Mus musculus: one gene and its partners. The protein of the gene in region 4 interacts with the protein of the main gene of each other region in a biochemical or structural test. Links are inferred from orthologs where the notes say so. Each region holds a gene or a part of one and is shown on either strand. Other genes may lie near its edges.

Evidence for each region. The genes of interacting proteins can lie anywhere in the genome.
Region 1: the proteins of Cebpb (region 4) and Ddit3 form a complex in vitro, tested with the Homo sapiens proteins (2 studies listed by BioGRID and IntAct, with this or other methods). The link is inferred for Mus musculus from reciprocal best matches to the Homo sapiens genes CEBPB and DDIT3.
Region 2: the proteins of Cebpb (region 4) and Smad4 form a complex in vitro, tested with the Homo sapiens proteins (2 studies listed by BioGRID and IntAct). The link is inferred for Mus musculus from reciprocal best matches to the Homo sapiens genes CEBPB and SMAD4.
Region 3: the proteins of Cebpb (region 4) and Kat2a form a complex in vitro, tested with the Homo sapiens proteins (2 studies listed by BioGRID, with this or other methods). The link is inferred for Mus musculus from reciprocal best matches to the Homo sapiens genes CEBPB and KAT2A.

The regions. Positions count from the first base shown.
Region 1 is NC_000076.6:127,289,635-127,293,602, reverse strand, and holds the start of Ddit3 (DNA damage-inducible transcript 3 protein), read right to left. Parts: upstream 2,811-3,968; 5' UTR 2,712-2,810; exon of another isoform or gene 2,605-2,711; intron 1-2,604. UniProt on the Homo sapiens protein: Multifunctional transcription factor in endoplasmic reticulum (ER) stress response. Plays an essential role in the response to a wide variety of cell stresses and induces cell cycle arrest and apoptosis in response to ER stress.
Region 2 is NC_000084.6:73,700,982-73,705,153, forward strand, and holds the start of Smad4 (mothers against decapentaplegic homolog 4), read right to left. Parts: upstream 2,811-4,172; 5' UTR 2,449-2,810; intron 1-2,448. UniProt on the Homo sapiens protein: In muscle physiology, plays a central role in the balance between atrophy and hypertrophy. When recruited by MSTN, promotes atrophy response via phosphorylated SMAD2/4.
Region 3 is NC_000077.6:100,709,658-100,713,775, forward strand, and holds the start of Kat2a (histone acetyltransferase KAT2A), read right to left. Parts: upstream 2,811-4,118; 5' UTR 2,748-2,810; coding exon 2,424-2,747; intron 2,280-2,423; coding exon 2,156-2,279; intron 1,822-2,155; coding exon 1,676-1,821; intron 1,573-1,675; coding exon 1,483-1,572; intron 1,247-1,482; coding exon 1,065-1,246; intron 980-1,064; coding exon 788-979; exon of another isoform or gene 593-787; intron 1-592. UniProt on the Homo sapiens protein: Protein lysine acyltransferase that can act as a acetyltransferase, glutaryltransferase, succinyltransferase or malonyltransferase, depending on the context.
Region 4 is NC_000068.7:167,687,731-167,690,937, reverse strand, and holds Cebpb (CCAAT/enhancer-binding protein beta), read right to left. Parts: upstream 2,024-3,207; 5' UTR 1,917-2,023; coding exon 1,026-1,916; 3' UTR 506-1,025; downstream 1-505. UniProt on the Homo sapiens protein: Important transcription factor regulating the expression of genes involved in immune and inflammatory responses. Also plays a significant role in adipogenesis, as well as in the gluconeogenic pathway, liver regeneration, and hematopoiesis.

The sequences.
Region 1 (3,968 bases), on a different chromosome or scaffold from region 4:
TAGCCCCTCTCTAGATCCTTTCTAACTCCTCCTAGCCCTTTTCTAGATCCTTTCTAAAATGGGTTGTGAGATGGTTTCTTTGTGCATCCCTGGGCATCCTGGAATTCTGGAACTCAACAACTCTGCAGACCAGGCTCCAGTTCTTCTCTTGTAATACACACACACACATACAGAGGTGTGTGTGTCTTGCAGCGGGTGTGTCCCTGAAGCCATTTCTTCTCTTGTAATACACACACACACACAGGCGTGTGTCTTGCAGCGTGTGTGTCCCTGAAGCCAACTCCAAGGACAGAGGCAGGCTTAACTTTATTTTTAGTTGCTGACATTTGCCGTCTTGATTACATAATAGCAAAGTCCTGGCCAACTAAGTTTTCTCTAAATCCCAGATAGACCTCAAGTCCGCCAAAGGGAGACAGAACTAGAGGGAAGGAAGAGTAAACTCAGCAGTGCTTGCTCAGATTCCATCCCCCCACTGGCAGCCTCAGTGCAGACCTGCTCTGGGATCTCCAGCTCCTTGGCAGTGTTGAGCAGGCGTTCAGCTTACATGAAAGGCCTTTCCTACCAAGGCTGTATAGTTCTTACTAAATGGCAACTCTAGGTGCTGAAAGCCAAAAACTTTGGTATCCTTGATGCCCCTTTCTCAGATACCACAGCTCAGCCTAAAGCACTGACAACTTTAAAAGTACCCCAAACCTAAGTATTTCTCATTACTACATTATTTCCAGATGCAATTTTTTATTTTTCATTTATTTATTTTTTTGGTTTTTCTTGACAGGGTTTCTCTGTGTAGCCTTGGCTGTCCTGGAACTCACTGTGGACAAGGCTGGCCTCGAATTCAGAAATCCGCCTGTCTCTGTCTCCCAAATGCTGGGATTAAAGGCGTGCACCACCACTGCCTGGCTCCAGATATAAATTTACCATACATTTCTTTCCCTGGATTATTTTGGAAGCCTCTTTGAAATCTCTCCTTTCTTTCTTCCTTTCCTTTCCTTTCTTTCTCTTTTAGACAGGGTCTCACTATGTAGCTTTTGCTGTCCTGGAACTTGCTTTGTAGACTCTCTGGCTTTGAATTTAGATCTGCCTGCCTTTCAAGTGCTGGGATTAAAGGCTGTGCCACTATGTTCAGCTGAGACCTCCTGTTTCTATTCTTGTCTTTTACTTTATTTTCACGGCTGTGGGTTGACCTAGGGTCCTCTACATACCAGGCAAGCAGTGTACTATTGAGCTACATACCTAACCCTTTGTTTTTGTATTTATTTTGAGTCAGGGTCTCATAATGTAGCCCTGGCTGGCCTGGAGCTCAGAGATCTGCCTCTCTGAGTGCTGGAATTAAATGCATGTGCTATGATCATTCCTCTGCTCAGATCCCCCAATGGCTTCCTGTTTCATGATTGTTAAAGATTAGCATCATGAGGGTGCTTGCAAGGCTCTATGAGACCGGCTGCTTGAGTTTCCTTTCATCACCCTCTCCTGCTTACTCTAGTCCTGTTCCTAAAGATACCGGCATGGCATGCTTATCTTAACTCTGTTGCTCAGCCTCTCCCTTCTATAAAGCTCTAACACCGGGGCTTGGCTCACAGGCTTGGCTTCTGATGACAACCTCTAGTCACCGCCCTGAACTATTCTGCCCTGCTTTTGTTTTTTTTTTCCCTTTTGCTTTATACTGAAATGTAAGTTTTATTGAGAACAGTTTTATCTTTTGCTCCTAATATACCCTGGGTCCCCAGATACTTGGTACATAGTGGGTGCTTATTAGGCATTTGTTAGGAATGAATGGGGAAAAAGCCCCTCCCCCAAGTTCCCTTATAGAGAATTAAGCCCACTGAGCCTAAAGGCAGAGCGGAGCTGGCTGTCTCTGGGGACTGCAGATGCAATATTGCCCTGAGTGTTTCTCTGCAGGGTTGTCCTCTAGGGAAAACTCCCTTGGTCTTCCAGTGTGTGGGACCTGGCTTTCATCAGCAGAGGAGCCCCAGGCCTGAGGGTGCAGAGACAAACAGTGGGCTGGCCTGACGCAATGGTTACACAGTTTAGTTAGGAGACGGGACTGAGGAAAGAAGCAGAGATCAATCAGCCCTGGGAGAAGCAGAAGACCCTGGAGAGATCCCAAATAATTTCCCATAGTTAAAGAGATCCAGGCTGCTCTCTTGTATGGAAACCTAGAAACCTCTGGGGAAAAGGGAAAAACCCATCTATGCTCCTCCCACCAGCACCCCCACTCGCAAAGATCTGTCAGTCTTCGCGTTCTCTTGAACTTGAGAGTCAGCTACTAACGTGGCCATGTTGGCCCCTTGACTGAGGCGCTTCAGCTTGAAAGAGTTGGGGGGAATGAGGCTGGTGAAGAAAAGGCTGAGACAGCCAGAGTCCCCGACTTTGGGGGTGTGTCCTGCTGCCCCGCCTTTCCTGCGAACTGCCCAGGCCTAAGCTGGCCCGCAGTTCGCACTACAGAGACAAGTTCCCGAAGGCAACCGGAGTCCCTCTGCAGAGTGGGGACCAACTCGAGACAAGGGAACGGGAATGCAATCGCCCAATGCAAGAGAGGGCCTGTAAGCACCATTCCTGAATCAGGGATTCCCGGCCTTCACCCTTCCCAGTCTACAAGCTTACAGTGGAAGGGGTGGGGCTACATCCTCCAGAACAGTTGTCTCCAACTTTATAAAATAGCTATGCTGGCCAGGATGGGAAGGTAAGGGTTAGACGGAGCCAGTACTCGCCTCTCTCCTCAGGTTCCGGCTGTTATTCTGGCTCTGTCGCTGCCACCCGCTCATCTTCAACATGATATAATCGACGTGTTAGGCTCAAGATAACTGACCTCAAGAGCGGAGAGCGAGTATCCTTTATGCTGTCCGGCCCCTCCTGGGGGGGGGGCAGGGTCCAGGAGCCTACCAATCAGAAAGCGGCACGCTGGCACTGGCTCCGCCTCATCCCTTACATCCGCCACTCAGGAGTCTCACGGCCCCACCCCCATCGCGCCCTCTGGCTTGAGAGTCTACGTTGTCTCGGACCCGGAAGTGGCTTTGGGTCACGCGGCTTCGCGGAGGAGGTGAGTGAGTCATGCGCGCGCGCGGAGGAGAGCGCGGCGAGGGAGGGGATGGGGGGGCGGGGATGATGCAATGTTTGGCAACCGGTGTCCGCGCGCGCACGCGCAGGGGACGTCGATGGTGGTGGGAGGTGCGGGAGGGGGGCTATGGGGGAGAGAGGAAAGAGGGCGGAGCGCCAGCTCCCAGTGTCCAACGGCCCCAACGGCTGTCCTTCCTGAACTTGTCTGCCCACCTCCCATCACCTTTAACTTACTCCTCCATGAAAGGCTCCCATTTTCCCTGGCCCCTCCCAGCTAATGGGCACCGGGGCTCTGGAACCTCTTTAAAGTTTCCAATTTGTTCACCTGGATTGACATCTCCTCGAATCTTTTAAGAGCTCTCCTCCTCTTTTAGCCTTCTAATGCGTCCCAAAGACTGAGTTCCTTGATAGTCCACCCGCTTCTCTCAGAGAGGCACCTTTAACGCTTGTTTCTGAATCGTCCATTACGTGCTAGGATTGAAGTTCTTTACAGAGTGTAGATTGCTGCCTCCTCCTCATCCCACCCCTGCTTTGTGTGATGCTCTTACGCCCTTCACTAAGCCCAGTATCCACCCTCTTCCTTCTCCGAGATAGCGAGTCCTGTGACTCCCTGCTGAGGAGCTGGCCTCCTGCCTCTAGCTGTCTGAGTTCACGACCTACAGTAGAGCCTGGGACGTGCATGCACTTGAACGCATGATTGCCCTGGACTGGGTCATCAGAGGAAACACAGATTCTAGTTTAATTTGTCCAAGGATTCTACCTTACTCATTTGTAAATTAAACAACGATAAAGGTAAAAAGCAGCTCTGTGGAGAAAACTTGAGTAAAAGTAAAAACATCTTGCAAAACGTATTTTTTTTTTTTTGTGCCATGAAAACAGAGGCCATGTGGTGGCCTATTACATAGTCTGTC
Region 2 (4,172 bases), on a different chromosome or scaffold from region 4:
ACTGAGAAAGCTATTACAAGATGCTTATAAAGAGACACTCATTCTGGGTGAATCAAAAATGAAAAGAAAAACAAAAACCTAGGCATCAACTAGATGGGGGACAAAATAGAACTGAAGTAGGTAATATTTCATCAAAAACAAAAAAGAAAAAAAAAAGGATTGTGCTCTCATCTAGAGATCAAATTTTAAAGAAGCCCAAATATGCACTTTAGATTTAACCAACTCTGCAGACTCTGCAGGGTTAACTGCCCTGGTACAGGCCCCAGCTATGCACAGCTCAATTAGAATAGTGTGTGCCAATGTTACTATAACTCTGGCTCAGTTAGAAAAATAAAAAAACAGGTTCTAACGGGGGGGGGGGGGGGGGGGGATCCTGCATAAAGTATTTTACTATTCCACCATTAATACGGCCCCTCCCCCGTGTGTGTGAAGCAGAGAATCCAGAGACAAAACTCACCAACAGAAACACTTGAATTAACATGTAGCATACATGAAAATGACCTTAAAGAAAGAGCAAGATCTGTACAACTCATATAATCAGAACTATTTCAAGAGCAAAACCATCAGGGAAGTTCAGGTCCATATAAAACACACGCCAAATCACTGCACTGACTTGTTTAGCACAAATTTTCCTTAATTCTGTAAACACAATTTTAATTCTTCCCAACTTAAGATTTACAGTGGAAGCATTTAGTCCAAAAGTGTCAACTACATCTTCAAAAACAAAAATATGTAATACCCCTTTAATGCATACTCACTCAAAAGCCTAGAAAGCAAAAAAAAAAAAAAAAAAAAAAAAGCCACCTGTCTTAAGACAGTGACAAAAAACTAAAAACCTTTATGTCAATTCTCTTTGGAAAGGATTTGTTTTAATTCCGGCAATTGAAGCCTACATAATTCATCACATCAGAAGCTGCTTCAGGCTATGGGTATTAGTCTGCCTCGGTGCATGTTTGTAACCAGGTCACTGAAGAAAACACACTCCTGAGCCTATGAGCACCGTGTCGCAATTTTGTATCCCAGCTCCGGAGAAGCTGAGAGACACGGATGGTCAGGAGTTGAAGAGAGGAGCAGGAAGCCCTAGAGACTCATGACAGTACACTGAACAAAGCATTAGGGAGAAACTGTATTTTAAGAAATATTAAAGCAATCATTTACACTCTGAAATAACACGTACTAATCCTACCAGATAGATCCAAGAGATAGAGTCTACAGTAGGGAGAAGTTTACTTCTCTGAATAGCCTATGCTACATACATTTCAACTGCAAGCGCTTCATATCCTGAATGCAAGGTAAACCTGTAAAATCTGTAACAAAAACTATTCAAATGCGGTGCTTGAAATCTAATTGCTTTGTGGAATTTATAATAGATTTCTGTACATTCAGTTAAGATTCCACACGGTTTGTGTCAGCAGAAAGTCCTGAACCTGATTCTTAAAACGTTCAAAGTCTCAAGCTACTACTGAGAGGAAAAGGATGCTAAATCTGGCAAAATTCAACGATTGTTAAAAAATTAAGCGAGATTACAAGCCTGCAGAACACGAATTCAAGGTACTTAAAATAACTCCCTCTTTATCTCGTTACTTTATTTCTAAGTAAGTGACAATCCCACCTTAAGTTATCAGAAACTGAAGGCACTGATAAATTCTAAAATGAATTACCTGAAAACCAACTTTAAAAATTAAGTTTACTCCAGGTTTTGTGGGGTGGGGCAGTGGGGAGGAGCTATCAATAAACAGGGCTTTTTAAAACCTCTGGCAAAGGAACCTTTCAAGTTAACTAAACACGCCCTTGTCTTTGAAAATCTGGCTTGAGAAATCATAACAGCAGTTTGGGGTGCTGAAGCCAACGCCCTCCACCCTCCACCAATTTCACGCTCCGTGCATGTAGCCCTAACAATAAAATAAACTACGCCTTTTATTAGGAGACACGTTTTATTAGGGGAGGGTGGTTCAGTTTGGCGCTAAGAGTGTCTCCCGCACGCCGCCATCACCCACAATACCCAAAAAGTAAACAAATCAAAGCTACAAACGTAAACTCAGAGCACACAACCAGGAAGAGAAAGTGGGGACAAAGAGAAAACAAACACTTGCTGGGGGGTGGGGGAGGTGGGGAAGGCACGAGGACCCGACCCGGGGCACCCCGGGCATAACGCACTCGGGCCGGGCCGACGCGACGGCCCGGGCCGCGGCCAAACTCCTCCCGAACAACAAAGAGCGGCGGCACGGACGGGGACCGGCGACCGAGTTCCCGGGACGGCGGGCTCGCCTAACTGCGAGAGGAGTTGGGGCCCGGGAGCCACGCGCGGGCACGCGAAGCCCCGGACGCGCGGGGGCGACCCACCCGAGCCCCGCTGGGCCCACGCTCGCGCCGGTCGCCGCGGGAGCCCGCCCCGGGGCGGGGAAGCGCGGGCGCCGAGGCCCCGGTTAGGGGAGGACCGCGCGTTACCTGGGCTCCGCGCCGCACCGCGCCTCGCCTCGCTGTCGCTTCCCGGGCCCCGCCCGCGGCGTCCGGCCCAGGCGGCCCCCTCTCCCCGCCGCGCCGCGGACCGCGCCGGCCGGCCGGGCCGCTGGAGCTCCGGAGCCGCCCCGCTGCGGGGGGCCTCGCTCGCGGGCGCCGGCTCCGGTCACGCGCTCCCGCCCCGGGGACGGCCGCGGAGCGGAGCGCGGCGCGGGAAGGGCCTCCGGAGGACGGCGGGCGGGCGGGCGGACGGACGCGAACACGGGCTCCGCCACCCGAGCCGCTCCGTTACCGCAGCGGCGACGACGACCAGGGCCGTGTTGTTGCTGCCAACTTGTCGGAAGGACACTGAGCATGCGCGCGCGGAGACCACATCCGGGTAATTTCAGGGTTTGGCCCTTCCCTCCCCCGCTCCCCTCCCGCAGCGCTCCTTTCTCCCCGCTGCCCCCGCCTCCCGCCCAGAGCAGGGAGGGTCCCAGTGCGCAGGCGCCCGCGGGCAGCCCGGCGGCTCTGGCTGAGTTTGAGCAGCGAGCGAGCAACGGCGCCGGAGGGGAGTCGCCTTTTCGCAGGATGCCCTCTTCAGACACGGAGTGCGGTTCACAGAGTACCCAAGCAGCGTGGGACAGCTCGGGATGAGCGATGGGCAGGCCCGCCGGGTTGGGTTGGCTTTTGAAGACCTTGGTGGACACAGCTGGACCGAGTGCGGGTGTTTGTAGCAGTTTACTTCCGAGCGGATCTCTCACTCTGTCCCTTTCATCACACCGGCTCCAAAAGGTTGAGCTCGGAGGCGCGCGCGACAGTCAAGGAGTCACATTCCAGGGCCTAGCCCGAGGTGGCCAAACGTGAGCAGTTGGGAAAGAGGCGGGAATTTCGAGTTGGAGGCGACCTTCAAGACTTGCTTAAGTGTACACCTGCTAAATAGGTTGTGCAGGCTGGGATGTAAAGAAAGCTCAGTTTCAGAACTTCACACCTTACAAAACAAGTCAAAACTACCTCTCATTACTTAAGTGGTCCGCTATCTAAAACTTTCAGGGCAACGTAAAGGGACAGTTCAAAATTTGTTGTCCATATACAAAGCCCTGGGTCCATCCCACCACAAAAGTGGTGCATTTGGTGGCAAAAGGCCCGTCTTTGATTTTGACTTTGTACTTACTTTCTTGTATAATTTTATGAATATTGTACTTAGTAGCTAGAACACAAGCCTGCCGTATAGTCCCTGGCTTTAAATCACAGCCCATGCATGTAAATCTTAGCCCTTGGGAAGCAGAGACAGAAGGAGCTCCAGCCTGGTGGATTTACGTGGCAAATTTCAAACCAGGACTAAATAGACAGACCCTAACTTTAAATTTATTCAGACGTCTAGGAAACATGAATTATATGTTGTCTTTTTGTTTCCTTTTTCACCTTCCCTCGGGGTTCCTTCTAGTACAGCTGTTAGACCAAGTCATTTCTTAAGTCTGTTGGAGAAACTTTACAACACACACCAATGTGTAACACTGCCCCCCCAGGGTAAGCCAAAGGGACAATTCAAAAGTTGATGTCTGCAATGAGAAAATAAATCACTTAAATGAATCGATAGTAGAATTTCCTTCACAAATCCAATTCTTCATTGTCATCAAAATTGATAGGTGCAGTACAAATTGAGTTATATATAAAAAGAGAGAGAGAGAGAGATATGAAGTTAGGAAAAGGATATTCCAGTGGGGGAGTCC
Region 3 (4,118 bases), on a different chromosome or scaffold from region 4:
GTCCTCTTCTGCTCAGGATAGGACATAGCCAGGATAGAGACTGGAGACCCAATTTTGTCATGATGTGTGGCCAAGGAGAACGGGTCTGAGCGGATGCCATCCTATGCTGTGTGGCTAGGCAGGGCACCCACCCAGTCACCTGAATTGCCTTAGTCCCCTCTCTATCAGACTGGTCTAGAATGAGCCAATCTTGTCACCTCTTGTTCCCACATGCTTGTTCCCAGATTCAAATGGGAAGAAGATGTGGAACAACAGAGGCACAGAGATAGGTAATGGCTTCACTTCAAAAGTAAACTCTAAGCCAGGCGTGGTGGCGCATGCCTTTAATCCCAGCACTTGGGAGGCAGAGGCAGGCGGATTTCTGAGTTCAAGGCCAGCCTGGTCTACAAAGTGAGTTCCCGGACAGCCAAGGCTACACAGAGAAACCCTGTCTGGAAAAAACAAATAAACAAACAAAAAAAGTAAACTCTAGACTTCTCAGAGCACTGTGGTAGGAGGGGCTCTGGGGTGATATCCACACACCCAGAGGAAACTAATTAGTAACTATCTATCAGGGGGCTGAAAGAGGGTAGCGTTAGCTTGGGCCATGTACCTGCCATCCCCAGACTAGCACATACTAGCAAGTAGCTTCTGGGCCATGGGCAAATCTGCCAGGTAGACACCCAGATCCCAGAAGGCCCATGGAGGGAGAGGAGGGACCAATCCAGGAAGCCTTCCTGGAAAAAAGGGGACAACAGCAAGGACATGAATTTGGGGTAAAATCCCAGGAGGCCAGACTGAGCCTTACTTGGGGAAGTGAGTGAGGATGAGGGTCCTCTTCTCAGGCACCAGTTTGTCCTTTTCCACCCGAAATTTTTCCAGTAGCTGCCGGCGGGTGACAGTGAAAATGGACCGTAGAAGGCTTCGGCCAAACACGTGGGTGGTCTCGTAGCGGGGGAGGCTGTCGCAGCTCTGGGGCACGTGGCAGTAACAGAGCCATCTGGGGGAGGTGGAGCGGCAGGTGAGGGTGGAGACCGCCAGACTGGCTGTTCAAGCCTCCCCTGTAAGGCCCTGTCTGGGCTTACCTGGTATAATTGACTTTGTAGGTAGCGACATCCTCAGACTGGGACCGCTGCCGGAATTGAGCAGGGGTCTCCAGCTTCCAGTAGTTAAGGCAGAGCAGGAACATCTTTGAGAGCTCAAACATTGTCTGGCGCTCTCGGGGGGCCAGGTGGCTAAATTTGTACTGCACAAAGTTCAGTACACCCTGAGGAGTAAGGAGGGGACAAAATCAGGAGGAGGTGTGGACAGCCAACAGAGGCATGTCAAATAGGAGGGATTCTGTGAAGAGAACCTCTGACCCTTCCAACTTCCACACCCACTCTGAGGTCAGCAAACACCATGTCCCTTCCTTGAACCTCTCCCCTGTTCTCAGCTTGAGGAAATAAACCAGACTCTCCACCCTCTTAAGTCGCCTTTAATCTTGCTACATGCCCGCCCTACCTGTTCAATGTTAGGCTTCTCAAATGGGGGGCTGCCTAGAGACCCCTCCACCACTGGCCGTGTCATCTGCAGAATGCACTTCCGCAAGAGCTGTAAGGAAGAGGGATGGGCAGAAACAGGAGTAGCAGAGCTCAGAGAGCAGGATCCCCAACACACACCAAAGCTTCACCATCTTTACTCCATGAGAACTCACCTTGAAGAGGTAGAAATAGACTTGTTTGGTGTCTGTGTCCTCTTCCTTGTGAACAGACATGAACAGATTTTCTACATCTACTACCATTCCCAAGAGCCGGTTAATCTCGTCCTCTGACACATTCTCCAGGTGGGACACATGGTCCGCTGCAAGATGGTTACATTAGGGCTGGGAAGAACAGAAGAGCTCCACGGGGCTTGATTCCTGTACCTCCTCTAACTAGCCAGTGACACACCCTTGATTCTCCAATTCTTGACAGACAGGGAGACCCAGTGTTCTCAGTTCTCCCATCAGCCCTTGGTAGCTACCTGCTACCAAGGCAGATCTCCTTTTTTCCTTCCATGGGACATTCACATTTATTCCCTACCCAATATTTCCTTAGAAGGTCTCCAAGAAGCTCTGTGGTACTTATGTCACCCTGTTCAAACAGGACCTGGCTCCTGCCCTCCGCCCCAGCTCCAAAGGTGGTGCCTGCCTTACCCAAAGGGTGCTCACAGCTACGGCACAACTCGCTCAGGTTGGCAGCTGGCTGCTGGAGGTCCATGCGGGGTGCGGTGGGGGGCTTGGGGTTTTTCCAGCCATTACACTTGCAGGTTTCATTGGCCTGGAGGGGGAAGGTTCAGTTCCCTGATGCTGTCTGCATCCCAAGCGCAAGAGCGGCTCTATGGCTAGAGCTTCGCCCCCCATTCCTACCCCAGACCTTGGATGCCCCAAGCCCCGCCCCTTTTGCTCTAGGCCCCGCCCCCACCTTGCAAGCTGAGAAGACCCCTAGTTTCTCAAGCTTCTTGGCACGCGGCAGACCCCGGACTTGCGCCTTCCTCTGGCTAGCGCGCTGCTGCTGGCTCAGGCCAGGTCGAGCCGGATCCCCCCCACTTCCTACCCCGGCGCCCCCACTCCCTGTGCTCCCAGCTGGGGCTGCAGCTGGGGCAGGGGCTGGTGCCGGAGTCGGAGCCGGAGTGGAGGCTGAAGCCGGACTGGGCGCAGGAGTCGAAGTTGGGGCAGGGGCTGGGGAGTGAAGGGGCCGGGGCTGCGCTGCCGGGACCGGGTTTGGGGCCTGGGAAGGTTCCGCCATGGCCTCCCCCGCAGCGGAGCGGCGCCGCGCTCCCAGCCCTAGGGCCGCATGGGCAACCGGCGCACAGTGCGCAGGCGTCACGGCCCCGGCGCACGATGGGAGTCGTAGTCTTCCTTTGCCGCTTCCCATCCTTTGGCCTTCCATACTTTTTTTTTTCTTGGTTCCAGACAACCAAATGTCGCTTGGTTGAGCATCCTAGATTTGACCATTACTTCATTCTAATCTTTTTTAAGCCATCCGAGATAGTGACAATTACTATCCTCTTGGGAACAAGAGGCACCCCAGAACACTGGCCGTCTGGAGGATTTGTGGATGCTGCCCTTTTAAAGTCCATAGGTGGAAGAACAGGCCTGGGCCTGAGGTTGGCTCCCACATTGCAAAAGCCTGCCCTATTGTGGCTGCCGGCTAAGGCTTGCAGCTACAATAGAGATAAAATGTAACATTAATTCTACTATTTGTACTGTGGTGTTCACACTTATGAATTAACTTTGACAATCAGTTTTTGGGTTTTGTTTTGTTTTGTTTTATTTTGTTTTTTGAGACAGGGTTTCTCTGTGAAGCCCTGGCTGTCCTGGAACTCATTCTGTAGACCAGGCTGACCTCGAACTCAGAAATCCGCCTGGCTCTGCTTCCCAAGTGCTGGGATTAAAGGCATGCGCCATCACTGCCCAGTGACAATCAGCTTTTTCTATACTTGGGTTGCTGTTAAACAGAAACGGTTTTATTTTCAAAAGAACAAAGAGACATAGTTGTGGGCCATGCTGCTGTTGAATGTGTGTGTTCATGCACGGGCATTCGTGTGTGTGTGTGTGTGTGTGTGTTGGGAGTGGGCAGGAAAGGGGGGGGGGAGTGTGTTTGTGTGTGCTGAGAACTAAAGAACCAGAGAGACCAACACTGAAGATGCGGAGGGTAGGGGGTGGTCCCCTCTTCTGGCTCGCCTAGGCAGCTTTGAAGATGGAGAGGATTCCTGACCTCATACCCTTCCATCCTACCTCCATCTTTTTCCCTGCCCACTCCTTAATGGGGGGGTGGGGGTGGAGGAAAGCCAGAGAAATAGACAGTTTCTTCCCATTGTAGAGGTAGACTGTGAAAGGTCAGGGATAGTTCTTCCTGGAAGATCAGAAAGGCCCCCTCTTTTGGCTCAGTCCAGAGAACAATTTTCCTTGCCCCAGGCCCGATTCTTAAAAGGGCAGGGTAGGGCAGGGCCGGCAGGGCAGGGCAGGGCAGAGCAAGCCAGACCTTTTCAACCCCGTTGCTCAATCCCATCAGCTCCCAGGATGGAGCTGTAACCCCGCACATTCAGGTGATCCAGTTCCTTCATAGCCTCCTTCCTGCCCTCTGATGTGAGAGAAGGGCCCAGGGAGAAGCAGA
Region 4 (3,207 bases):
TAGTGAGAAAGGGAAAGCAGAGTAGGAAGTGTTCCCTTCACCTTCCTCTCGGCCCAATCTCTCTTCCAGCTACACAGGGACACAGACACCAAACAGGCGTGCGGTCTCCCCCACACCACCAAACACACAGAACTCACCTGCCCTGACCCAGCTGTCTGGACTAGCCTTTCCTACAGAATGTCTAGTCCTCTCAACACAAGTCTGACACTCAAACCAAGCCGAGGGCGGCCCGTCCCAAGCAGGGTTTCTAGCAAGTCCCCCAGCACCCGTGGGTGCTGAGTCACCCTGAATTCCTGACCTGGCACTCTGCCCCCTCTCCTGGGGGGAGGGGCTGACACCCCATCTGCCATGGGAAGAGAAAAGCCCAGATGCGACACCCCCACCCACCGCCACACACAACCCAAAAATAACCCGCAGCCCCCTACACACCAGAAACACAAAAACAAAATCTCGCATAAATCCAAAGTCGGGAGGGAAGAAAAAAAATTTTTTTTCAAAAGCCAACTACTGCCCCCAAAAGGCTTTTAAACATTCTCCAAAAAAGTTTATTAAAATGTCTTCACTTTAATGCTCGAAACGGAAAAGGTTCTCAAAATATACATACGCCTCTTTTCTCATAGAAATAGAACTTTTTTATATAATACAAAAAAAATAATAAGACCAAAAAAAAAAACAAAACAAAACAAAAAACAAAAACAAAACCAAAAACATCAACAACCCCGCAGGAACATCTTTAAGTGATTACTCAGGGCCCGGCTGACAGTTACACGTGTGTTGCGTCAGTCCCGTGTCCACACGCGCTCAGCCACGTTTGATCCGGATTGCATCAAGTCCCGAAACCCGGTGCGCTGTGCAGGTGCGTGCGCGCGGTGCCCGCGGTGTGCCCGCGGTGTCCCCTCGGTGCAGGTGCAGGTGCGCGCAGGGCACGCACGGTGGTCCGGGCGCGCGCGCGGGGCCGGAGCGCGCGGGGCAGGGCGCACGGTGCCCAGGGTGGCCGCGGCGCCCCCCACGCCACCCGCGCCGCGCTAGCAGTGGCCCGCCGAGGCCAGCAGCGGCTCGGGCAGCTGCTTGAACAAGTTCCGCAGGGTGCTGAGCTCTCGCGACAGCTGCTCCACCTTCTTCTGCAGCCGCTCGTTCTCCGCCGTCAGCTCCAGCACCTTGTGCTGCGTCTCCAGGTTGCGCATCTTGGCCTTGTCGCGGCTCTTGCGCACCGCGATGTTGTTGCGCTCGCGCCGCATCTTGTACTCGTCGCTCAGCTTGTCCACCGTCTTCTTGGCCTTGGCCTTGGCGGGCGCGGCCGGCGGCCCCGCGAAGCAGGCGGCGGGCGCGGCCTTGGCGTCGGCGGGGCTCGGCGTGCCGGGCGGGCTGGACGACGACGACGTGGACAGGCTGCCGCTGCTGCCGCTCGGCGTCGCCTGGTAGCCCAGGTAGGCGCGCAGGGCGAACGGGAAACCGGCCGCCATGGCGGGCGCGTCGTCCGCGCGCTTGCAGTCCGCGGGTTCGAAGCCCGGCTCCGCCTTGAGCGCGGCGGGAGGCGGCGGCGGGAAGCAGGCGGGCGGCGCGGCCTTGGCGCCCGCGCGGCCGAGGCTCACGTAACCGTAGTCGGCCGGCTTCTTGCTCGGCTTGGCGCCGTAGTCGTCGGCGAAGAGGTCGGAGAGGAAGTCGTGGTGCGCGGGCGCGGGCGCGGCGAAGTCCGCGGCGGGCGCGAGCGGCTCCAGGTAGGGGCTGAAGTCGATGGCGCGCTCGTGCTCGCCAATGGCCGGCTCGGCGGCGGGGGCGCGCGGCGCGGCGCGGGCCGCCTTGGCCCCGTAGGCCAGGCAGTCGGGCTCGTAGTAGAAGTTGGCCACTTCCATGGGTCTAAAGGCGGCGGGCGGCGGCGGGAGGCATGCTGCGTCCCAGGCCAGCAGGCGGTGCATGAACGCGGGGCCCGCGGGCTCCGCTGCGTCCCGGTCCCGTGCGCGGCTCGGACTCGGCGCGGCGGCGGCCGAGCGGGAGGTTTATAAGGCGGCGCCTGGCAACGGGCTGCGTCACGCTGGGGCCCCTCCCGCCGCCCCGCCACCCGGTCGGTGCGCGTCATTGCCCGGCCACGGGAGCGCGAGAGGGCGCGGCGGGGAGTGGGGCGCGGCGGGGGTCCTCGCGCGGGAGGCTGAGCGGTGACCCGGGCGTCCCGCCAGCCCCGCGATGGCCACGGACGCGGGTGACGCCAGCCCGCCCCCTTCCCGCCCCTCGGGAACACGGAGGAGCGCGGCCGCCGCCCGCCCCCTGCTGGAGGACGCGGTGGCTCGTCCCGGCTCCGGTCCGCTGTCCCGGACCCCCAACTCTTGGGAAACAGATCGTTCCTCCAGCTACACGACCCCAACCCTCGGATCCTGCCCGCTGTCCCCGGGCCCCAATTCCCTGGAAGCAGCCTTCCACGGGGTGCATGTCCTCCCACCCAGGTGCTGCCCACACCTCTGGGACCCCCCCCCCAACTCCTGGGAAGCAGAACTCTCCAGGTGCACGCCCACCCCGGGGATGCTCGCTGTCCTGGATCCCAGCCCTCCACCCTATGTATGGCCCGCCTACCGCACCTGCCTACGCCACTCCCTGCGCCTCTCCATGAAGGTGGCAGGGCTGGGGGTTCTGCCACACTGTGTCTGGGTGAGTCACTTTGCTTCTGAGTTCCCTCCGTGGACAGTGTTGGTATTGTTAGTAGTGGTGTCATCAGAGACAAACGGACCCCCGAGAAGTACGATGCCTTCCTAAGACCTGCACAGCCCTGCCCAGAGGCTTCTCAGGTGATTGCGGTGGGAGCATGGTAGACCCCACTCCAGCCATAAGGACCCAGCGGTCACCCTGCAAGCTGGGGAGGCAACCCCTCCACCCCGTGCACTTGAATGGGCTGGGATCACCAGCCTCTCTCCGGTGAGACCCTTTTGAGGACGCCCAGGGCAACTCTTGGGGCCCACCCTTCTGCCACTCCTAGGTGGGCCACTCAAGCAGGAGCTGCCAACCTGTCAGGGGCTGACCCCCGACCCATTGACCCCAGCCCTGGCCCCGGCAAGCTGGCGGGGTGTTGCTCAACCTTCGGTGTTATCTGCTGAGCTGGGGTGACCTCCGCCCCCAAGAGCTGGAGAAATGACATCTCCCTGTGCCCTTGGGGGTGGGGGGCAGGGAGGGAAAGGGTAAGACGCTAGCCCTGCCTGCCTGCGGCTTTCTGGCCTTCCC